Callithrix jacchus: one gene and its partners. The protein of the gene in region 1 interacts with the protein of each later gene in a pairwise test. Links are inferred from orthologs where the notes say so. Each region holds a gene or a part of one and is shown on either strand. Other genes may lie near its edges. The genes, in order: HOMEZ, SH3RF2, MED18, AEN, PRKAA2 and DNTTIP1.

Evidence for each region.
Region 2: the proteins of HOMEZ (region 1) and SH3RF2 interact in a two-hybrid assay, tested with the Homo sapiens proteins (2 studies listed by BioGRID). The two-hybrid records come from large-scale screens. The link is inferred for Callithrix jacchus from reciprocal best matches to the Homo sapiens genes HOMEZ and SH3RF2.
Region 3: the proteins of HOMEZ (region 1) and MED18 interact in binary tests that used the Homo sapiens proteins (3 or more experiments, as listed by UniProt). The two-hybrid records come from large-scale screens. The link is inferred for Callithrix jacchus from reciprocal best matches to the Homo sapiens genes HOMEZ and MED18.
Region 4: the proteins of HOMEZ (region 1) and AEN interact in binary tests that used the Homo sapiens proteins (3 or more experiments, as listed by UniProt). The two-hybrid records come from large-scale screens. The link is inferred for Callithrix jacchus from reciprocal best matches to the Homo sapiens genes HOMEZ and AEN.
Region 5: the proteins of HOMEZ (region 1) and PRKAA2 interact in binary tests that used the Homo sapiens proteins (3 or more experiments, as listed by UniProt). The two-hybrid records come from large-scale screens. The link is inferred for Callithrix jacchus from reciprocal best matches to the Homo sapiens genes HOMEZ and PRKAA2.
Region 6: the proteins of HOMEZ (region 1) and DNTTIP1 interact in binary tests that used the Homo sapiens proteins (3 or more experiments, as listed by UniProt). The two-hybrid records come from large-scale screens. The link is inferred for Callithrix jacchus from reciprocal best matches to the Homo sapiens genes HOMEZ and DNTTIP1.

Annotation. Positions count from the first base shown.
Region 1 is NC_133509.1:57,627,926-57,632,172, forward strand, and holds the start of HOMEZ (homeobox and leucine zipper protein Homez), read right to left. Parts: upstream 2,801-4,247; 5' UTR 2,699-2,800; coding exon 2,152-2,698; intron 1-2,151. UniProt on the Homo sapiens protein: May function as a transcriptional regulator.
Region 2 is NC_133503.1:44,557,051-44,560,550, reverse strand, and holds part of SH3RF2 (E3 ubiquitin-protein ligase SH3RF2), read right to left. Parts: intron 1,401-3,500; coding exon 1,042-1,400; intron 1-1,041. UniProt on the Homo sapiens protein: Has E3 ubiquitin-protein ligase activity. Acts as an anti-apoptotic regulator of the JNK pathway by ubiquitinating and promoting the degradation of SH3RF1, a scaffold protein that is required for pro-apoptotic JNK activation.
Region 3 is NC_133508.1:65,000,426-65,004,484, reverse strand, and holds the start of MED18 (mediator of RNA polymerase II transcription subunit 18), read right to left. Parts: upstream 2,801-4,059; 5' UTR 2,734-2,800; exon of another isoform or gene 2,678-2,733; intron 1,580-2,677; 5' UTR 1,519-1,579; coding exon 1,446-1,518; intron 1-1,445. UniProt on the Homo sapiens protein: Component of the Mediator complex, a coactivator involved in the regulated transcription of nearly all RNA polymerase II-dependent genes.
Region 4 is NC_133507.1:17,840,927-17,844,426, reverse strand, and holds part of AEN (apoptosis-enhancing nuclease), read right to left. Parts: exon of another isoform or gene 2,516-3,500; 5' UTR 2,288-2,515; coding exon 2,187-2,287; intron 1-2,186. UniProt on the Homo sapiens protein: Exonuclease with activity against single- and double-stranded DNA and RNA. Mediates p53-induced apoptosis.
Region 5 is NC_133508.1:93,774,051-93,777,550, reverse strand, and holds part of PRKAA2 (5'-AMP-activated protein kinase catalytic subunit alpha-2), read right to left. Parts: intron 1,925-3,500; coding exon 1,700-1,924; intron 1-1,699. UniProt on the Homo sapiens protein: Catalytic subunit of AMP-activated protein kinase (AMPK), an energy sensor protein kinase that plays a key role in regulating cellular energy metabolism.
Region 6 is NC_133506.1:41,039,845-41,043,344, reverse strand, and holds part of DNTTIP1 (deoxynucleotidyltransferase terminal-interacting protein 1), read right to left. Parts: intron 1,177-3,500; coding exon 1,108-1,176; intron 846-1,107; coding exon 789-845; intron 225-788; coding exon 166-224; intron 1-165. UniProt on the Homo sapiens protein: Increases DNTT terminal deoxynucleotidyltransferase activity (in vitro). Also acts as a transcriptional regulator, binding to the consensus sequence 5'-GNTGCATG-3' following an AT-tract.

The DNA of each region.
Region 1 (4,247 bases):
TGGACATGATGACTCATGCCTGTAATCCCAGCATTTTGGGAGGCCGAGGCAGGCAGATCACTTGAGGTCAGGAGTTCGAGACCAGCCAGACCAACATGGCAAAACCCCGTCTCTACTAAAAATACAAAAAAAAAAAGCTGGGAGTGGCGGTCACCAGCAATCCCAGCTACTTGGGAGGCTAAGGCAAGTGAATCGCTTGAACCTGGGAGGCAGAGGTTGCAGTGAGCCAAGATCACACCATTGCACTTCCAGCCTGGGTGACAGAGCAGGACTCTGTCTAAAAAAAAAAAAAAAATGCTGGGTGTGGTGGCTCATGCCTATAATCTCAGCACTTTGGGAGGCCGAGGTGGGCGGATCATGAGGTCTAGAGCTAGAGATCAAGACCATCCTGGCCAACATGGTGAAACCCCATCTCTACCAAAAATACAAAAAAATTAGCTGGGTGTCGTGGCGCATGACTGTAGTCCCAGCTACTCAGGAGGCTGAGGCAGGAGTGCTTGAACCTGGAGATGGAGGTTGCAGTGATCCAAGGTCCCGCCACTGCACTCCAGCCTGGCGCCTGGTGAGGGAGTGAGACTGTGTCTCAAAAAAAAAAAAAAGAAGCCAGGTTAAGGATTACTGTCTCATATCCTTCCAACTTAATAAAGGCAATAGTGGCAATTGCTTAAAGATGAACAGCTTAATGTGAATGAATGTAAAGAGTTGATGGAATACTCAAGAATTCAAGTGCATCTAGAAAGGACAAGGTATTTGTGATATTAGTTGGAAAGAGTGGAAGGGAGCAATGCTCAACTGGGCCAGGAGCCTGGCTTAACTGATCACCGGATTACATGACCAATACCCACAGTGCACTGGAAACTAAAGGCTAGTAGGCTACTAGTGAGCCAAAATCACCTGCTTCATTCAGTTGTCCTGTGTGCTGGGGCCAGTTTTGTGTGATTACAAACCTTCTTATGTCCATACCTTTTCAGTGTCTATATAATAATGTAATTAAATCTCACATAAACCTATGAAAACTCACTGCATTAAAATTGTTCCTTCAGGAATATTGATTTTTAAAAACTGTTCCTATGAAAACTAAGTCAAATGCTTTGGAGAGACATAACACAAAGAAGAGTATGCATTTTAAAAACTGTTGAGTCAGGAGTGAGGAAGACAACTGTAAAAGACTGAGGGGTGGAACTTAATCTTGAAAGTCCTCTGCACTCAAAGGTGTCTAAATTTCTTCACTTTTATAAATAAAGCAAAACAGGAAATCAAAGATGATGAAAGTGCCAGAGTGGCTCTCGTCTCAGACTGCACACTGGAATTACCTGGGAAGCTTAAAAACAAGGCCACCCTTCTCCCCATTCAGATTCAATAGTCTGTGTGGGGCCCAGGCATCCACAGTTTTTAAAAGTTCTCAGGGCATACCCAGTTTTGAGACTCCCTGTGTAGTTAATATTAGAAAGAGGATTGGGAACTCCGAACAGCTGACTTAGACACAAAAACAGTCTCACCACTACATCAAAAGATTGGTGAAATGAACGTACTTTTAATTATAATGTTTAAGATATGTATTCATTATCTTTAAAATTCCCAATCTGGCTTTTTCAGTTACTACCATCTAACCTAATCGTATAATATAAAAAGGCTTCAAGTGTACGATGGGAAGGAGGTTCACATGACAAAAAAAAGAAAAAAAATCTGATCTGGGCCCACATTACCAAACAGGTCTCAGCTTGAGTCTTCTTTCAGTTTAGTAGTCTCAGAACAGGACGCAACACTAGGAACCCCAGAGGACTTGGGTTCTCAGTTTCCTGGTTGGTTTTCTCAGTATGGCTGGGTACGGGAGTCAGAAGGGGCAATTGCTTCTAAACCTTTCATTCCCAAAGGCCAGATCCTCAGAAGCAAGGCCAGGTTCTATATGTGTGTTGAGGTCGCCAGGAGGTAGTCATGGGGGTTGGGGGGGGGGCGTGTTGGAGGGGGCTGGGAAGGAAACGTTTCTCCTATCCTCCATTTCACAGGCAGTCCAGAAGGCTCCGAACTGGGTCAGGGAACAAAAAGTTGTTGCACTTGGGGCGATGAGCCCCATGAAGCAGGCGAATCTCGATCCTACTCTCGCCAAGGGCGCCCCAACCCAACGTTTCCCTCCCCTACGCAGACACTCACCCCTCCCGTAGTTACAACAGGGAACCAAAAACTCCAGAGGAGAAAAAAGAGAGAACCGGGCGACTTCGAACCTAGAATTCTCCCCCCACCAGCGCGGGGATGGGGCTCCAGAGGTCGGAGATCGTACACGAGCTGGGAGGGGAAGTCCAAGGGGCTGGGGATCACTCACCGCGGTCCAGCCCGGGCGGCGGTTCCCAGCCTCGCACCATGGGCCGGGGGGAAGTGGGGGAGAGGGCAGGGGTCTCCGAGTTGGGAGTGGGGTTGCTGCCCGGTGCGGCCGCTCCGAGCCCACCCGCGCGAAGGCCGAAACCGGGACTGCCCCCCCACCCAGTCCCGGAGAGCGCGCCGGTGTACCCAGCCCTGCTGAGCAAGTTGGAGGCGGGGCGGATGGGTGGGGTGGGCGTCCAGAGGCGGTGCCAAGGTGGCCCGAGTCCTGATTGGTGGGCGCCGGCGGGCGGGCAGGGGCGAAGCGCAGCAGGCCGACCATTGGCTGCGTGGGTCTCGGCTGAAGTCGGCTATTGGCTACGTGGGCCTCAGCTGGGGTCATCTATTGGATGCGTGGAGCAGGGAAGATGTCCCCCTGGGGCCAAGCTGCCCAGCCTGGTACCTCCCTCTACCCTCGACCTATCGGCGCCGGACCTTGGAGTACACCGGGCCAGGATCCTTCCGAAATTCCCCAAGGAGGAACACTTTGCTGAACTGTCTGTACCGCCAACAACTCCCAATTTGTTTCCTCCTGAAGGAAGCCTTCCAGGAAGACCATTTCAGTGTCCCCTCCCGAGCCTTACACTCGAGCTGCGCCTTTCCCAGCGGAGAGCCCAACTGCCGCCAGCCCCGTCAGCTGTAACAAAGCGCCTAAAGCAACCGGGAACTTGTTCTAGAGATGGATCAGCTGTCTTGCCACCCGGAAAGACGAGGGCTTTAGGAGCCTGCGGGCGACTTAGGCCGTTCCTCGGGTCAAACTGGCGCTAGACAGGATGTTTCCAAAGACGAAGTGCTGGAGCAGTCACCTCATTGGGACCTACCAGACCCTCAGGCTCCCCTCCCTGCCCTAGAAAAGAGGACCCGGAGCTCTGCATATTTGTTTTTCGCTGTCTCGAAAGGGATGAAGACTGAGGTGGGAGAACGGCTTGACCCCAAGAGTTTGAGGCCAGTCTGCGCAGCATAACGAAACCTTGTCTCAAGAAAAAAAAAAAAAAATTTTTTTTAATTTACAAAAAGAAAGGGATGACAATAAAACGGACTTCACCAAAGCAGTATCCCACACAGTATAAAGTTATGGACAAAATTTGTATTTTAGGATTCCTCATCTTCCGTGAGACAAAGAAACAAATATAAGAAGCCAGGCTTGCTTATGTCAGCTTGGCAACATAACTTCACAAAGCCTCTGACTCTGACTGAAGTCTCTGGAAAGACCTTTTGAAGACAAAACAGGATGGGGCACCGTCCTCCGTATCTCTTGCCTGAGTCACTATATTCCTTAAAAGATAAAAGGGCTGGGTGCGGTGGCTCACAAACCTAATGTCAATGCTTTGGGGGGCCAAAGAGGGAGGATTGCTTGAGGCCAGGATACAAGATCAGCCTGCACAACATGGCGAGTCCCTAACTCTACAAAAAATTTAAACATTAGCCGGACTTGGTGGAGTGCACCTGTAGTCCCAGTTACTCAGGAGGCTGAAGCAGGAGGATCGTTTGAGCCATGAGTTGGAGGCTGTAGTGAGCAATGATTGCACCACTGCACTCCAGCCTAGGCAACAGAGTAACACTGTGTCTCTAAAAATTAGAAGGTAAATGACCCTAGCCCTTGCCTTTTCCTGCACATAAGATGATGTCTAAAGGGGTTAGGAATGTTGCCTCTGTAATCTATAACCAAATGTACTTTTACATCCAAACTTTTATGTGATTCTGCTTTAATGTAACTTGTGAGCAAGTTTGAGGTAACATCTGAGCACATACTGAACCCCCACAACCTGTATGTAAACTGTAAATTAAAACAGCATGAGAGCAGTCTGAAACTTTAAAAAATTTTGTTTTTGAGATTGGGTCTTACTCTGTCGTCCAGGCTGGAGTGCAGTGGTGCAATCTGGGCTCACTGC
Region 2 (3,500 bases), on another chromosome or scaffold:
CATAAGTTAAAAGACAGCAACAAGCATCACCTAACTTTCTTACTGTCTTCTCTTCCCACCATCCCTTCTGCTTCAAAGATATTATCAAGAACGTAAGCCTTTTACAAAAACTCTTATGTCTTTTAGTGGGAAAAGTCCTGGACTAGAAGTTAACAGATCTGACCTCTGCCACGGAGGTCACAATAAGTTAGTTGGAGTCATTACCATTCAGTGTGACCTCGATGTAACTTACATTATCCTGTGTCTCAGTTGCCTCTTTCTTTTTTTGAGACTTTTGTTGCCCAGACTGGAGTGTAATGGTGCGATCTCGGCTCACTGCAATCTCCACCTCCTGAGTTCAAGTGATTCTCCTGCCTCAGCCTCCTGAGTAGCTGGGATTACAGGCGCCCGCCACAACGCATGACTAATTTTGTATTTTTAGTAGAGACAGGCTTCTCCACGTTGGTCAGGTTGGTCTTGAACTCCTGACCGCAGGTGATTGGCCCTCCTCAGCCTCCCAAAGTGCTGGCCAAATGGCGTGAGCCACTGCGCCCAGCCAGTTGCCTCTTTTATACAATGCATAATTATGTGTCAAACCCTACGTAAGCACTTCACATATCTCATTTTTCTCCACTTCAATACTGTGTGGCCATTACTTATTCTACTTCCATTTTACAGATTATGCAAAATAAGTGTTTCAGAAGGGTGAAGTATTTTGACCAAAGTCACCCAGCTAGCAAGCAGCAGAGCTGGAATTCAAAACAAGATTTGTCTAATGCCAAAGTCATCTTTGTTACAAGCCGCTTTGGGGCCTCAAAAGATGTATAAAATATTCAGGAAACATCAAGGAGACTCAGTAACACATGTAGGGAGGGTGTGAATGATGTAGGGATGTTGGCCATAGCACAGTGGGGAGCTGGGGAGGAGGAGTGTTATGTGTGAGGATTCTTTTGAGGCTGCAATTTTGGTTCCTTGTCCACCAACACTAAAATCTCAGAGCTGAGACACTGTGCAAAGCGGAGGATCGAAAGAGTCAGGCCCCCACTGTCACTCTGATCCTACCTTTTCGATGCCATTTCTTGAGTTTTCTGGTTTCACCAGGATGGATGGTGGGGCAGACGCAGGTGGTTTTGGCAGAGACTCACTCTTGACGGGGATTTCCTTGCCTTCCATGATGAGAGAGCTGGCTGCTGAGTGGATCCGGGCCTCACTGCCCCTGCTGATGCATGTGAGGGCGGGCTCCCCCGTGGGGGCATGCTTGGGCCCCATCTCCACCACCATGGCTGAGGGGGAGGAGGGGACCCCCTGTGGCTGGTAGGATTGGAACTGCTGAGGCCGAACGACCATGGTGGGGCTGCGTCTGAGGGAGCCTACCACGAGAGTGGGGATCCCGGACTGGACGGGTCTCTGCAGGGATCCATCTGGGGAATTACAGGACAGAGAGGTTAGCAGCAGGGGCAGCTAGCAGTAGGTTGGGTGGGGCTGGGTAAGCAGTGCATCCTGGTATCCCAGAATAGACAAGTGCTTTCCTAATCTGACTACATTCACATTCTCTTGGGGTCTTTCAAAGGTGACTTTATTCTTTTTTTAGTGCTGTTTACTGATGCTGGCAGCAAATAGCTCTCTGGCTGAATGGTGTGTGTGTGTGTGTGTAGATGGGCTGTCAGCAGAAGGTATATTGCTTCCATTTGCCTTTGGTCTCTCTCTCTCTCTCTCTCTCTCTCACACACACACACACACGCACACACACACGCGAAGCAGACACAGAGGCAGGCAGACCAAATAGGAAACAAATGACAGAATCAGAGACAGGAGATTGAGAAACACAAAGGAGAGGCAACTGAAAAGACTGGGAGAGAGGAAAATAAGAAAAGAGAAAGGGAAAGTCTGACCAGCGACTTGCTGTGAAAATCCTAACAGAAGCTTTAGGCATGTGGTGGGGGGTCGCTTTTTGTCGGGGCCTGCAGGGAGAAAGGGTGAGTGGAAATCACTGTGACTGCTAGGCAAGCACAACAGCAGACAGAGGCGAATTTGGAAAGGGTATTCCACAGTGAGGGCTGTGAGGATGGGCTTGGCAATGTCTCATGACAGAAGATCTGGAATCAGACCTCCTGGGGAGCCTGGGATAAGTAAGTCACATCACCTCTCTGCACCTCAGTTTTCTCATTTGTAAGCTGGAGATAATAACAGTATGTCATCAGGCTGCTGTGAGGATTGCATTCTATTAGGTGTGCTAAGAGTTAGGATAGTGCCTGGACCATGATCAATGCTGCGTGTTTGTAAGCTATCCTTATTTTTGGTTAAAGGATAGCATATCCTTTAACCAAGAGTTTGGTTTTGTCACTTCCTGAGCTCATTCTTCTTCTCCTTTTTTTTTTTTTTTAATTGAAATGGAACTGTCTCAGTAAAAGGCCATTTCTTCCCCTGAAATTCTCTGGCAGGCAGGAGATCTCCTGCCCTCAGCTACATATGTCCTGCAGCTGACCTGGGGAATCGGGAGTTCATTGCATTCTGTGGGGAGGTGGAAGAGATACCCCTTTCTCCATAAGGGTTTAGAGCATTTAGAGAGCTGCAGGTTTTATCCCAGCCAGAGCTGCTAGTCTTCTGTGACACTCCACAGACTCGAGTTTGAATCAAAGTCATTTGTGTCCAGCACAGAGGGCCTGAGCCAAGGCCAGGCTGCATCGTGACTCTATCAAACCAGATGTGTACATGAAAAGCAGGACACTCACTTAACAGAGTCGGTGTCCTCAGCTGCTGCAAGCAAGCCAGTCACTATTTACACAACTGTGACCTTTCAATTTAGACATTTATTTTTCTACCGACAGCCCTGTGAGGTTCACACGGTCAATTCTCCCGTCATTTCTCTTTGCTCTGGAGAGACTGATAGCTTGCCAGCCTCACCTTGGGAAAAGACAGAAAGAGAAAGCCTCCGGGACCTGGGAAGTCAAAGAAGCACCAGGCAGACATGTCCTTAGGCTCCTGTAAATGTGTGAAAAATTGGTCCGATGCCTTATCTATTTATCTTGTCAATTCCTAATTTCCCGGAGAGTTAATGCTTTCTTATTACATGTGCATACAGTGCAAGCAGTCGAAGCTTCATGCCGATCAAGATTTTGCTAAGGTGGAGAGGGAGTATATTAAGGAAAGTGTGAGCAATTGCTTTTGGGATGCAACTCTGCATATCTAAGTGTGAATGTTTTTTCTTTTTTCAAATCAAATATATATATATATATATTTCCTTGAGACAGGCTAGACTGGAGTTCAGTTGGAGACTGTAGCTCACTGCAGTCTCAACTTCCCCGGCTCAAGCCATCCTCCCACCTCGGCCCCAAAAGTAGCTAAGACCACAGGCATGTATCACCATGCTCAGCTTCTTCCTTTAATTTTTTTAGAGATGAGGTCTCGCTATATTGCCCAGGCTGGTCTTGAACTCCTGAGCTCAAGCGATCCTTCCACCTCAGCCTCCCAAAGTGCTAGGATTACAGGTGTGAGCCACACACATTCAGCTGTGTATGAAC
Region 3 (4,059 bases), on another chromosome or scaffold:
GTGGAAACAAGAAATAAATAAGTAAGGCTGAGTGCAGTGACTCATGCCTGCAATTCGAGCACACTGGGGATGCTGAGGTGGGAGGAATCATGTGAGTTCAGGAGTTCGAGACTAGCCTGGGCAACATAGTGAGACTTCATCTCTACTAAAAATAAAAAATAATAATTAGCTGGGCGTGGTAGCATGGGCCTGTAATCCCAGCTACTGAGGAGGCGGATGCGGTGGGATTGATTGCTTGAGTCTAGGAGGTTGAGGCTGCAGTGTGCTGTGACTGCACCACTACATTTCAGCCTGGGTGAGAGAGCAAGACTCTGTCTCCACATAACCAAACAAGTAAATGAAAACAAGGAAATAAAAGAGAATCAGATGGAGAGGAACTGGAGGGGACAAAGGGGAGGAAACTACTCTGAGATGTTGGAGTGGTCAGAGGACTCTCTAAGGGGATGACAGATGAGCTAAGACCCTACGATGAAAATGAAATGGTTAGCTGGGCGTGGTGGCTCATGCCTGGAATCTCAGCACTTTGGGAGGCCGAGGAATGCGGGTCACAAGGTCAAGAGATGGAGACCATTCTAGCCAACACAGTGAAACCCCATCTCTATTAAAAATATAAAAATTAGCCAGGCATGGTGGTGCACACTGTAGTCCCAGCTACTTGGGAGGCAGAGGCAGGAGAATTGCTTGAACCTGGGAGATGGAGGTTTGCAGTCAGCCTGGGCAAAAGAGTGAAGAATCCATCTAAAAAAAAAAATCAGAGAAACACGACCTAGAAAGATAGTTGCTAAGGGATAGTTACAGGGGAGTGGGAATCAGTGTTTAATGGATACAGAGTTGCAGTTTTACAGGATGAAAAACTATTTTAGGTTGGGCACAGTGGCTCATGCCTATAATCCCAGCACTTTGGGAGGCCAAGGTAAGTTGATCACTTGAGTCCAAGAGTTCAAGACCAGTCTGGCCAACATGACAAAACCTCAACTCTCTACTAAAAAATACAAAAATTAGGTGGGCATGGTGATGCACACTTGTAATCCCAACTATTCGGAGGCCTGAGATGTAAGAATCCCTGGAACCCAGGAAGTGGAGGTTGCAGTGAGCCAATATTGTGCCACTGCATTCCAGCCTGGGTGACAGATCGAGACTCTGTCTCAAAGGAAAAAAAGTTCTATTAAGTATTTTTTCAAGCTATTCACAATAAACACGAGTTCTAAAGATCTGTTGCTTAACAATGTTAATATACTTCACACTACTGAACTGTACACTTAAATATGTTATGATGACAAATTTAATATGTTTAATGCATATAAAACTATAATATGAAGTAACAATTAAAAACATAGCTGATTGCCAGAAACTGTGCAGGCTGCTTTTGTGTTAAGTCTCTCATCTTCACGGAAGCTGAACAGAGAAGAGGAAAACAGGTAATCCAAGTTCCCTGGTTCACTTACCCTGCAGCAGGTACTCCATCATGTTAATGGTGCCCCCAGTGACAGGCATCATGGTGACTGGAGGTGCCTCCATGGTGTCTAAGTTGAAGACAACACAACTCAGAATGCCCAGTCAGGTAAGGCATGAGATATACCTGAAAAAGAATTCACTTGTTTATACATCAGAGTGGTGGAGAAAGACCAGATCTGTTGTGGCACTAGCCTTCAAATCAAAAGATTCATTCATTCAAAAACGTCTGAGTATCTCCTTATATGGCCAGTTCCAGGAACTGATAATACAGAAATATAAAAGGGAGATCTAATCATGGAGTTATACCATAACCTTCTAGTCTCAAGTTCTGAAACTTCCAAGTTACCTGTGCAATCTTGAGAAAGTCCTACAACCCCTCACCCTGGGACTCAATGTATTCCTTATAAAATAAGGCCAATTTTTTTTTTTTGAGATGGAGTTTCACTCTTGTTATCCAGGCTGGAGTGCAATGGGGTGATCTCTGTTCACTGCAGCCTCCGCCTCCAGGATTCAAGCGATTCTCCTGCCTCAGCCTCCCGAGTAGCTGGGATTACAGGCATGTGCCACCACGCCCGCCCGGCTTTTTCTGTATTTTTAGTAGAGATGGGGTTTTGCCATGTTGGCCAGGTTGGTCTTGAACTCCTTGGCCTCAGGTGAGTCTCAGGTGATCCGGCCTCCCAAAGAGCTGGGATTACAGGCATGAGCCACCGCGTCCAGCCGAGGCCAGTATTTTTTAATTTCGGAGGCTATGTGGCTCTAATGACATAATAAAGAGGAAACAAAATTCAGAGGAACTGAAAAGTGACTTAAGGGCCCTTAATTTTATAGATGAGGATACTGAGACTCGGAGAGGGGCAGAAGGATACACAGAGCAAGTTGGTGGCAGAGTTTGGACCAAACTAGAATCTAGGCATTCCATCTCTCTAAAAATGCCTTCCCCTCTCCCTTTTTGTTTTTTGGAGACAGGATCTCGATCTGCAGCACAGGCTGGAGTGCAATGGGGAGTTCCCAGTTCACTACAGCCTCGAACTCCTGGGCTCAAGCGATCCTCAGCCTCCCGATCTACCTCCCAAGTAGCTAGACTACAGGCGGGAGAGCCACTGCGGCTGGCCTGAAAATGCCTTTTAAAGAGAGCCAAGAGAAAGTTATTTTAAGATGATGGTGTATAGGTCCCTTTAAGCCGCATCCAGAACACGTGTCCATTTAAACACTAGAAACACACCTCCTTGAGGCTCTAGCTTCTTCTCAGGAAGCCGGGAATTATATTCACCCGCGCACCTAGGCGCCTTTGAGCGACGATTAGATTCCAGCCCTCCGGTTAACCGAGCCCCGGAAGCCCTTAGACGGAAGCAACCAGCCAACTTCCTCCTCTTTTCACCTCCGATCGGAAGCCGAAGTCTCACAAACCTCGAAACTGCCGTTCCGGAACGTAAGGGTGCCGAGAAGGCCAAAGAGCTTCATTGCGGACAGACAACCAAAAACGCATGCGCGAAATCCCGGGCTGCTGTAAGAAAGATGGCGCCCTCCTTTGGAGCATTCCTCCGGGAGCTACCTGAAGCCTTGATGTCACAGGCCTTCCTCTAGGAAAATATTTTTAGGTTTGACAACCTGGAGATGTACTTGTGTAGAAAGTCTCTTGGAACTGTTAAGACTTACAGAGATTATCATGAACTTAAAAAAAAAAACAAAAACTGGGCTGGTCCGAAGGTAGTGAGTTATCTCAATTGATTGTTCACAGTTACACAGATCGAACTCCTTGTTCTACTCTTTCCCCCCTTCTCACTACTGCACTTGACTAGAAAAAAGAAAAATAAAATTAAATTAAATTAAAAACACACACACACACACACACAAACTGAGGGGTTAGGCATGGTGGCTCATGCCTGTAACTCTAGCACTTAGGGAGGCCAAAGTGGGCGGGTCACTTGAGTTCAGGAGTTCAAGACCAGCCTAGCCAACATGGTGAAACCCCGTCTCCACTAAAAATACACTAAAAAACCGGGCATGGTGGCGCATGCCTGTACTTTCAGCTACTGGGGAGGCTGAGGTGGGAGAATCACTTTAACCCGGGAAGCGGAGGTTGCAGCAAACCTACATTTCACCACTTGCACTATAGCCTGGATGATAGAGAGAGACTGTATCCAAAAAAAAAAAAAAAAAGAAAAAGAAAAAGAAAAAAAGAAAGTAAAGGAATAAAGAATGGCTACCCCCATAGGCAGAGCAGGCGAGTGGAAAAGGTGTAGGCCTAGATCCAGGAGTACTCTGCATGCCAAACTAAAGAATAGATGTGGCCAGGCACGGTGGCTCACGCCTGTAATCTCAGCACTTTGGGAGGCCAAAGCGGGCAGATCACAAGGTCAGGAGTTCAAGACCAGCCTGACCAACATGGTGAAACCCCGTCTCTACTAAAAATACAAAAATTAGCTGGGCATGGTGGGGCATGCCTATAATCCCAGCTACATAGGAGGCTGAGGCAGGAGAATTGTTTGAACCCAGGAGGCGGAGGTTGCTGTGAGCTGAGATCGCGCCACTGTACTCCAGCCTGGGTGACACAGCGAGACTCCGTCTCAATTTAAAAAAAAAAAGAATAGATGTGAGCTTTAA
Region 4 (3,500 bases), on another chromosome or scaffold:
TCTTTTCTTTGCTAATCATAAAGCATGGAATTGCCTCGGAGAAGGGAGAGAAGAGCTCAGAAATGGTGATCCCTCTACCTGTGCCTCCGCTTTCTGGAAGTCTGTGGGCATGGCCCATGGTGAAAATTCTTCCAGTGTTTACTGAGAGCTGGGAGCACTGGAAGCACAGCTCAGAATGAAGTCAGAGTGGTGGTGCTGGGGTAAGCAGAGCAGAAAGAAAGGAAAAGGGGAAATGGTTGTGGACAGGAGGCTGGTGGAATCCTGGCCCAGTCATCCCCTCCCCACAGGCACAACGATAGGCTCCCTGGTTCGTTTCCCTTGCAGTGTGGCACTGGTGGAGGAGAGGCAAGCCCGTGCTGCCTGGACCAGCCTCTAATTGTGCTGGCAGGGCACATCCGCTTCTTAATTAGCAAAAGCCACAATATCCTGGTGGCTCAGAGAGCACGGCCCTAATTGTATTTCTGCAGCAACTGAAGGATAATTACCTTTCCCTATTGGTGCTACTTTTAATTCTCTCTCTTTTTAATTGTGACTGCTTCTTCTTTAGCCCACCCTTCCATCCTTGGATTTATTCTCTCTATCCAGAATAGGAAAGGGCTTGCCTGGTGATGGAGATGCTCAGAGCAGTGCGGGGGGCATGGAGAAGACGGGCAGTGCCCAGCTCTGAGTCCCAGCCCTTTCAATTGTCAGCCTGAGACAGGGCACAGTTCTGCGATGGCCCTGAGGAAACCCAAGATGTTCTTTTGTGGAAGATGTAAGGGAGAGGTGTCCCTTCCCCAGAAGCTGTTAAGACCCTCTTCGTCCACTCCCCAGTCAGGTGATGGCTCTGCAATTCCCAGCTGCAGAAAACTGAGACCTCCCTTCCCCATCCTTTAATCTCTCAAGAAACAGATGGGTTTATGGTCTTTAATTTCTTTTAAAATAATAATTTAAAAAGTAGCCCCGTGTCTCTTTGCCACTGTTGAGAGAGAGTTAGTCCTTCATCCTTGTATTGTTTCAGAGGCAAGGACCTGAGTGTACCTTTAGAGAACAATGCTAACTAAGGTAACCCCTTGGTTAACGGGAGAGCTTAACACCCTAGGTGCTTCTAGGAAAACAGGCCTTTTTAGGGAGCTGTCAAATAAGCTTCAATAGTAATAGACAAGCTAAAATGCATCACAAAGAGTTTGGAGAGAACCACAGCATCTCTCTGAATGTCGCCATGCAGGACTGATGGATGTAGCCTACATGAGCAGCCTGGCTCTAAAAAGCTACCACCCAGCCACTGCCCTACTAGAAGCTCACTATGAGAGCAGGGACTCCCGCTCATTATTCTTCCCAGTGCCTTGCATGCAGCCTGGCTCATGACAGATGAAACTGGTTGGCAAACAAGCAAAGTTCAGGGACAGAGTAGGACTGTGAAGTGTGAACAGGGTCAGTCCATTTTCATTGGCTTTTTCCTTTCAGAGCCAGTGAAGATGGACTTGAGCTGACTGTGGCCCTAGTTTTCAAAATTCTTTAATTCTGAGCTCTATCTGAATTGGGAGAAGAGGCAAGCAACAAAAGAGGCTGCTATAGTCTCAAAGAAATAGATCTTGAAAAAATGACCTGCCCTTGAGCCCACCAACTTCCACTCCCCACTTCTAATTTCTCCTCTGAATTTAGAGCTGTTCCCTTAGCAACGCTTGTTTCCATGGTTTCTTCCATGACAATGATCCCCAAACCCCTCCTCTCTTTTACCTCATGACAGTAATGGGTGATGGGGATCCTCAGTGTGGCCACTCCATGTTACCATGGTAACAATTAACTGAGTCTTAATTTATCTTTTGTGAAGAGGGCTAGGGAATATGAAGCTTTTGATTTGGAGGGGGAGGGTCCAGGTCTAGAGCTACCGTTCTCATAAAGAAGAAGTTAAGGGATTTGTCCTAATACTAGCCAGTAGGATTTAGTTCAAACATTTGTTCAGCCCTACTTTAAGCACAACTGAATTTGAGGGAATTAAAGGGGTACAAGACATAGCTCCTAATATTGAAGGGCTTATAGTCTAGCCCTAGGGCTCATGGTACCTCTGAACTCTGGCACAGATGGGGCCAATAAAGTATATGGCTCTTGATAGCACCGTCATGGTCAGGCATCTATCTATCCACTCCCAGTATCCCCTCCAGCCAAAAGCCAAAAAAAGACTGACCGAAGCAGTCTGTACTCACAGTAAGGCTTCTTCCAGGCTGCTGTCAGAGAGTTTCCATCCTGAAAGGGAAAGAACTTTGACTCCCCCTCTTTTTAGGAAAGTGGGGACCAATGCCAGCATCTCTGAGTGGGATTATTTGATGCAGGGATAAAAAGAAAAAAAACCAGACCTGCGCAACGCCAATGCTATGGACTGGGGCGATCTCCAGTTCCAGGATCCCCATCACCTACCTGCAGCAAGTCTTCCTGGGAAGCGATGAATCAGCTCTTACACTGAATTAGAGAGTCATTGTCTCCATCCATTCAGCTTTTCTGTTTGTCACTGAAAATTCAGGCAAAAGGCGCAGCTCTGAAGAATGAAAGTAGAAAAGCAAACAAATAAAACATCAAAGTGGAGAAGAGGGCACCAAATACCAAAGCTGAAAGCTGAGCAGAGTGAATCCAAAAGCTGACTATCCATTCTGCGTCACAAGCAATGCAGCTCTTCTAAATTCTAGCTTTCCATCTTCATCCCCAAAAGTTTTCACCACATCTCTAATAATGAGGACCAATTCTCTACTTTTAGGGGAAATCACAAAATTTTCTGGACCCTGGTAACAATAACCTGCACTGACTTTGAAAGATAATCACAGTATCTCCCAAAATGAAGGGGAAAAAAGCTATAGGACAATGTATAAGGCAGGTATGTTGAAGTAAGCTATGAACAGATAGGAAGAAAAGTCAATGCAATCTGGGTTAGCCAAAGTCAATTCCAGATCCTGAGTCCAGGACTCTGTGTTCTGTCCTTTGCTACTGGATGGAACTAAGGCAGATCCAATCCTTCTGGGTACCCTGCTCACTCAGCTAGTCAGAAAAGGATAAATGGCATCCTCTTATTGGTTGACAAGGCAATGCACACCAACCAATGAAAGGATGCTTCTTCCTTTCCAGCCAATAAGAGCTCACTTATCTTCTTGAAAGGAAAGTAGGCCCTTTGTTCATAAAGAAAATAAGCAGAAAGTGAATACATCTTTTTAAAAAAAAACAACTGTTGCTATGGGACATTATTGATGTGATAAATGATAGCTGCCCCAGAGAATTCATAAAGAAAAGCACTGCTTTGGAAAGAAAAGTACAAAAAGCAGACCAGCTGTCTGGCCTGGTCTGAAGGGAAGTTTCTATAGTAACATGTGAGAGAAAAGCATTTTAATATAAATACCCCCAAAACTATCAAATCCGTTCATTGAGGGAATTTTTGACCTTTTCAACTTATGCTGAAATTATAATGATTAAACATTTTTATATTAATAATAGATGAAGGAAACGAGGAGAAAAGAAGAGAATAAGAGGAAAAG
Region 5 (3,500 bases), on another chromosome or scaffold:
TTGGAGTGCTAAAGAAAGGCTGGGAAAAGAAAATGATACGTAAATCCAAAAGGAATCATCAGTCCTTGCTTGCAAGAAATCAGCAGCAGTCACATAAACAGCTACCTCAGCCATCATTTAAATATTCCAAAGGTTGGCTGGGCGCTGTGGTTCACGCCCATAATCTCAGCACTTTGGGAGCATAAGGCAGGCAGATCACAAGGTCAGGAGTTTGATCATAGCCTGGCCAACACAGTGAAACCCTGTGTCTACTAAAAATACAAAAAATTAGCTGGGTGTGGTGGTGGTGCCTATAACCCCAGCTACTCGGGAGGTTGAGGCAGAAGAACTGCTTGAACCCAGGAGGTGGAGGCTGCAGTGAGCCAAGATTATGCCACTGCACTCCAGCCCAGGCAACAGTGTAAGACTCCATCTCAAAAATAAAAGAGAAAGAAAGAAAAAAGAAAAGAAAAGAAAAGAAAAGAAAGAAAGAAAGGGGGGGAAAGGGGGGGAGGGAAGGAAATAAATTCCAAAGGTCAGAGGTCTCAAAAGAATCTTTTCTGGGACTGGGTGCCGTGACTCACACCTGTAATTCCAGCACTTTGGCAGGGCAAGATGGGTGATCGCTTGAGCCCAGGAGTTCAAGACCAGTGTGGGAAACATGGCAAAACCCCATTTCTACTAAAAATACAAAAAATAACTAGCTGGGTGTAGTGGCTTTCACCTATAGTCTCAGACACTCAGGAGGCTAAAATGGGAGGATCATCTCAGCCTGGAAGGTTGAGGCTACAGTGAGCTGTGATCACACCACTGCACTCCAGGCTGGGTGACAGAGTGAGACCCTGCCTCAAAAAAAAAGAAGTCTTTGCTGGCTAATGAAGAGAAGAGGAAGAGTTCTGGAAAGATGTCAAAAGAATGTGCTTGTAAACAAACATGGGTGAAATCTTAGGTAAGAACAAAAAACCTCTAAGAAACATGCCTTGATAAGTAATAAGCAGAATGCAATGAATCATCTTGCTACTATACAAAGATATGTTATATACAAAGGTTATATTCATAGGTGCATTAGCAATGGCACTTTCCAAAGTTTCTCACGTGACACAAGAGCCTTCACAGTAAGCCCACTAGCAGCCATTGAATTCAAAAACTTAGCAAAACTTTTTATGCTTTATGTTTTTAACCATATGTAAAATACATAAATCTCACTCTACTTTTCCATTTGAAATTTTTTTCAGACACTTTCTAAACATAACCATATTTCCAGGCCTTTTAGCATTATATAGGCAAAGATGAATAAGACACACTCTTTACCCTAATAGTCATAATTTAAGAGAGAAAAAAAGACACACTGAGAAACAACCAGATACAGGATGAGAATTAAATAAGAAAAGCATGAACAAAATGTTGATAAAATAGAAATGAAAGCACCTGTGGAACGTTAATGAATGAATGGAAGTCTATCAGGTCAAAAAAGAAAACAGAAAAGGTATCAAGGCAAAGAGAATAATATAAACAAAGACATAAAGACATAAAATCTATGCTAGGTTTAAGAAACAAGGACAAGTTCAGTGTGGCTGAAGCACTGGTACTTCACCTTCTCTTCATTGGCCAGGGGTGAGGTGGCGAGGGCAGGAAATGAGACTTTAGGAGAATCATTCAATTAACATCATTATTATTCCTATGAGAAAATATACGTAACAGAAACAAAAAGAATAATCACCTTATGTCTTTGATAGTTGCTCGTTTCAGTGGGTCGACCTGAAGCATATGCATCAGGAGAGTGGCGACAGAACGATTGAGATATTCTGGGATATAAAAGACACCACCTCGGATCTTCTTAAATAACGTAGGTACATGCTCATCATCAAATGGGAGGGTGCCACAAAGAAGAGCATACAAGATCACACCACAGCTCCAGATATCAACTTCAGGACCTGCATACAATCTAAAAAAAGATGGCAACACAAACCTAAAATGCAAGCATCACTATTTCTCTCTATATGTATCCTACTTCTATATCTAGGTAGTCTACCTTCAGTACATATTCATTTCCAAGGTCTTTATTGAAGTCCATGGCCACTCCCCAATATTCAGTGGTTGCTCCTCAAAGAGAATAATTAGGCTAGCCAATTACTATTCAAGTCTGGCAAGTGAATAGGGTATTTTTATTTGTCATAAATTCATTTAACTGAAACATACTAATTAAAAAATATAACACTTTCTGTGGTTGATTTTTGAGGGAAACAAAAGTAGATGACCATAAACTTGAAAAAATACTATAGTGTATAGGTTAAATCTTTTTCTTAAAGAACTAGTATAAGAAAATATACATATAATAGAATTTTTAGCCCTGGCACAACTTTAAAGAATATTTAAGGCCAGTCACTGTAGCTCACACCTGTAATGCTAGCACTTTGGGAGGCTGAGGTGGGTGGATTGCTTGAGGCTAGGAGTTTGAGGCCAGCCTAGGCAACATGGTGAAACTCTGTTTTTACTTAAAATATAAAATGTAGCCAGGGATGGTGGTGAACACCTGTAGTTCCAGCTACTCAGGAGGCTGAAGTGGGAGGATCACCTGAACCCAGGAGGCAGTACGGTGAGATAAGATTGTGCCACTGCACTCTAGCCTGGGTGAAAAAGATGCTCTGTCTCCAAAAAAAAAAAATTTTTTTTAAACATTAAAGTACTTAATTAGTACTGTATAGACAGCATTTATCCTGTATCACATTATCCTGTGCATTTACCACTTTCACTCTCATCACTTCCTAGCTCATATGGCTAAAATTAGCTTTGATCCAGATAACCTATGCTTATAGTGTTATTTCTTTTTTTCCTCTTACCTTTCTACAGCATTACAATTCCCATGACAGCATATTATCAAACTCAAACCTGAGTCTGAGGTAACAAAGTAAATCTCTACTATTCCAATAAAAAGGATATAATGTTTACATAAAAATGGCAATTGTTTACATCATTTGCTGTATTGTTCAAACTCTTTGCAATGGACTGAATGCTTACAGCCTCTCAAAATTCAAGTGTTGAAATCCTAACCCCCAAGGAGATAGTATTAGGAGGTGGGAACTTCAGGGATGTGATTAGGTCACTAGCGCAGAGTTCTCATGAATGGGACTAGTGCCCTTATAAGAGCAACCCCAGAGAGATCCCCCCTCCCTTTCACCATGTGAAGTCACAGTGAGCATACAGTAGTCTATCAGGAAGCAGACCCTCACCCAGATACCAAATCTGCTGGCACCTTGATCTTGGACTTCACAGTCTTCAGAACTGTGACAAATAAATTTCTGTTGTTCATAAGCCATCAACGTTATTGCATTTTTCTTATAGCAGCCCAAATGGACTAAGCTAATACTGGATCTGCTATTTGCAATAATATTTTTACCATATTTTCTCTCATAGGATTCTGTTAACTTTTAAAATCACACATTGATCACTGTAGAAAGACTTGAGTTTACCATTGCAATATGTATAAACATTTTTATAATGTACCAATGAATAAGTTATAT
Region 6 (3,500 bases), on another chromosome or scaffold:
ACTACCCTCCTTCCTCACCCCTCAAACCAGGGTACCCTCCCTCCATGATGACTTAAGCGGATGGATCTGATTTTACCAGGCACAGAACCCTGGCCTCTTTTCCTTCAGTACCCCTCTCTCCATCTGCTCCCTTAGGGTCTCACCACACTGTTGGTCCCTACTCACACCACGCCGGCAGCTGCTCGGTCGCTTGACAGGGTGTGTCCAGGAGGCCGTCCTTTCCTCTGCCACAAAGAACAGCTGTCAGAGGCCTGCCCCTGGGGTTACTCCCCATACCTTGTGGGCAGGTCCGGGGTCACTTGGTAGAGATGGTTTTCCAAAGAGATCAAATGATATTTGACAGGGACAGGGAGAAAAACTACCTCTCATGCCCAGGAAGGCTCAAAAAGGCTTTGAGGAAGTCTAGTACTTTGTGGAGTGAAGAGCCATTTTTTTCTCTTATTGGTAAAGAGCCTTTTTTGAGAGACAGGGTCCTCTGTCACTCAGCCTGGAGTGCAGCGGGATGATCATATCTCACTGCAGCCTTGAACTCCTGGGCTCAGTGATCCTCCCACCGCAGCCTCTTATGTAGCTAGGACAACAGGCATGTGCCAGAATGACTGGCTAATTTATTTTTTTGTTGTAGAGACAGGGCCTCACTATGTCACCAAGATGGGTCTCAAAACTCCTGGGCTCAAGTGATCCTCCCCAGTTTGGTCTCCCAAAGTGTTGGGATTATAGGCATGAGCCACCACGCCTGGCCTGAAGAGCCCTTTTCAGCTAGAAAATAAAACAAGAAAATGGTTTACCTTTTTAGGAAGGGGGCTTCCTCGATGGGCACATTCTTCTTCTGCCTGCCGGCCACGCTAAAAGAAAACGGAAGGGAGTTAGCAGAAGGCCAGTGTCTGGGAGCTGCAGGTCTGCTGGAGTTGCAGAAGACAGAGTCCTGGACTACAGCCCTCCAGCCCTGCTCTGACCCAGGCCACAGAAGCCCATCTAGAATGATGCTGTTTGGACCTGGTCCTACAAATGGAAGGTACCTGAGACCTCCCTGGACCCACATATTTCACTTGCTTCCTAGCCTGAAGGACCTCTCCCTCCAATACCCCAGAACACAGTGACTCTGACCTTTATTCCTGGAAGCTCATGGGTCAATCTGGGTACTACTTTTTCTCCATCTGAAAACAGTAGTTTAGCCTGAAGGGAAAGAGAGCAAGTGTTACCAGTTACTGTTTCTGTGGGTAAGCATACCCTATCTACTTCCCTCTTTTTTTATTTGGAGACAAAGTCTCACTCTGTTGCCCAGGCTGGAGTGCAGTAGTGGCTCACTGCAACCTCTGCCTCCTGGGTTCAAGCACTTCTCCTATCTCAGCCTCCTCAGTAGCTTGGGATTACGGGCATGCCACCATGCCCGGCTATTTTTTTTTTTTTTTTTTTGGCATTTTTAGTAGAGGTGGGGTTTTACCATGTTGGCCAGGCTGGTTTCAAACTTCTGACCTTCTGATCTACTCGCCTTGGCCTCCCAAAGTGTTGGGATTACAGGCGTGAGCCTCTGTGCCTGGCCTGCTGTCTTTCTTTTAATAAATATTGAGTACATAGGACCTAAGTGCTGTGAACACAGCAGTAACTAGGACAAGCACTTGTGGAGCTTATATTCTGTGGGTGACCTGCATAATAAGCACAGAAACAAACATGGTAATTGTGGATCATGATAGATGCTGTGAGAAAAAAAGAAAAAAACCCAGACAGATGTGACAGAGAAACACCAGAGTGGGAGGGCTACTTTGAGGGAGTAGCCAGGGAAGGCTTGCTCAGAAGATGGGCCTCTGAGTTGAGGTGTGAAGGAGGCTGTAAAGCGTTTCAGCAGCAGGGAGGAGTGTGGAAGACTGAAGGTGCGAACACCTCGCTCATTTGAGGAAGAACAAGATGGAATGGGCAGAGGGGAGATGGTGCATGAGCAGGGGCCTTGCAGGCAGGTGGAGAATTGGGTTCATCTGATCTCTGCCAGTGGCATTTGACTGCGCTGAGGGCTCCCCCTTCTGGAAACACTCTTTTCTACACACTTCCTTGAGTTCCTCCTACTTCTCTGGCCAGTCTTTCTTAGCCTTCTTTGCTGGCTTTTCCTCCTCAGTCTTGTTCTTTTCCCCCATCGCCTCTCACTACATATTCTATTTGCTCTCATTTAGAAATTCCCACAGCTTCAATTAATATCTATAAACCATGAGTCCATAATTTTTAAAGTCTTCAGCTGTAGACAAAAGCTTATCGTCTGAGCTCTAGACTCACATACCAAATAGTCTGCACCATGTCTATGCTTGGATGGCTCACAGCTGCTAATTCATAATTGGATTCAAAGTTCTCCAAACTTTGTCCCTTTTCAGAGTGAAGAAGTCTCAATGTGTAACTGTACATACATTTGTGCGGTAATCTAATTCATACCTGTCTGTTAACTAGGCTGTAAGTTCTATTAGAGCAGGAAGTTTGCTCATTTATCATCTGTTCATTCATTTAGTCAATAATTCAGCAAACTCAGTGCATATACTAAGAGCCATATTCCAAGGCTGGGAATACAGTGGTGAACAAGATTAGTCCTTAAAGCTCAAGATTTTAGCAGAGGTAGGAGTGCAAGGAGAAGACCTCTCTGATATTTAAACTAAGATCTGAAGAAGGAGCCAGCTATATAGAGTTAAGGGTAGATTACTCCAGGTACTAAGAACAGCAAGCGAAATGGCCTGAGCTTGTTTAGAGGACCAGAAAGGAGTTCAGAACAGCTACAGTAGAGTCAATAAAAGGGAGGTGAGATGAAATGAAGTTAAAGAAGCAGGCAGAAGCCGATCCAGGTAGGGCTCTGTGGGTCATGGTAAGGCATTAGGACTTTATTCTGCCTAAAACAAGAAAGTCATTGAAGAGTTTTAAAAAGGGGAGTGATGGCCGGGCACGATGGCTCATCCCTGTAATCCCAGCACTTTGGAAGGCTGAGGTCAGGAGTTTGAGACCAGCCTGACCAACATGGAGAAACCCTGTCTCTAGTAAAAACACAAAATTAGCTGGGCATGGTGGCGCATGCCTATAATCTCAGCTACTTGGGAGGCTGAGGCAAGAGAAGCACTTGAACTTGGGAGGCAGAGGTTGCAGTGAGCCAAGATCCTGCCATTGGACTCCAGCCTGGGCTACAGAGCAAAACTCCATTAAAAAAAAAAAAAAAGGTGGAGTGACATGATCTAATTCATCTTTACAGAGATCAGTCTGGCTGCTGTGAGAAGATGATTGGAACTGGGTAACAGTGAATATAGCTCTGGACTGAGATATAAATGTGTCAATTATGAGCAGCCGAATTGGCTTCAAAGCCACAGGACTAGATGAAAACACCTATGAAAACAGTGAACCACGAAAGAGAAAGGGTTTAAGGATTGAACTTGGGAAGGCACCAACAGTCAGAGGTTGCGGGGGGGCGGGGCAACGGAGAAGAGTAGGCGATAAAGTTAGAGCAAACAGAGGAGTGTTCTAAGAAACACGAAACG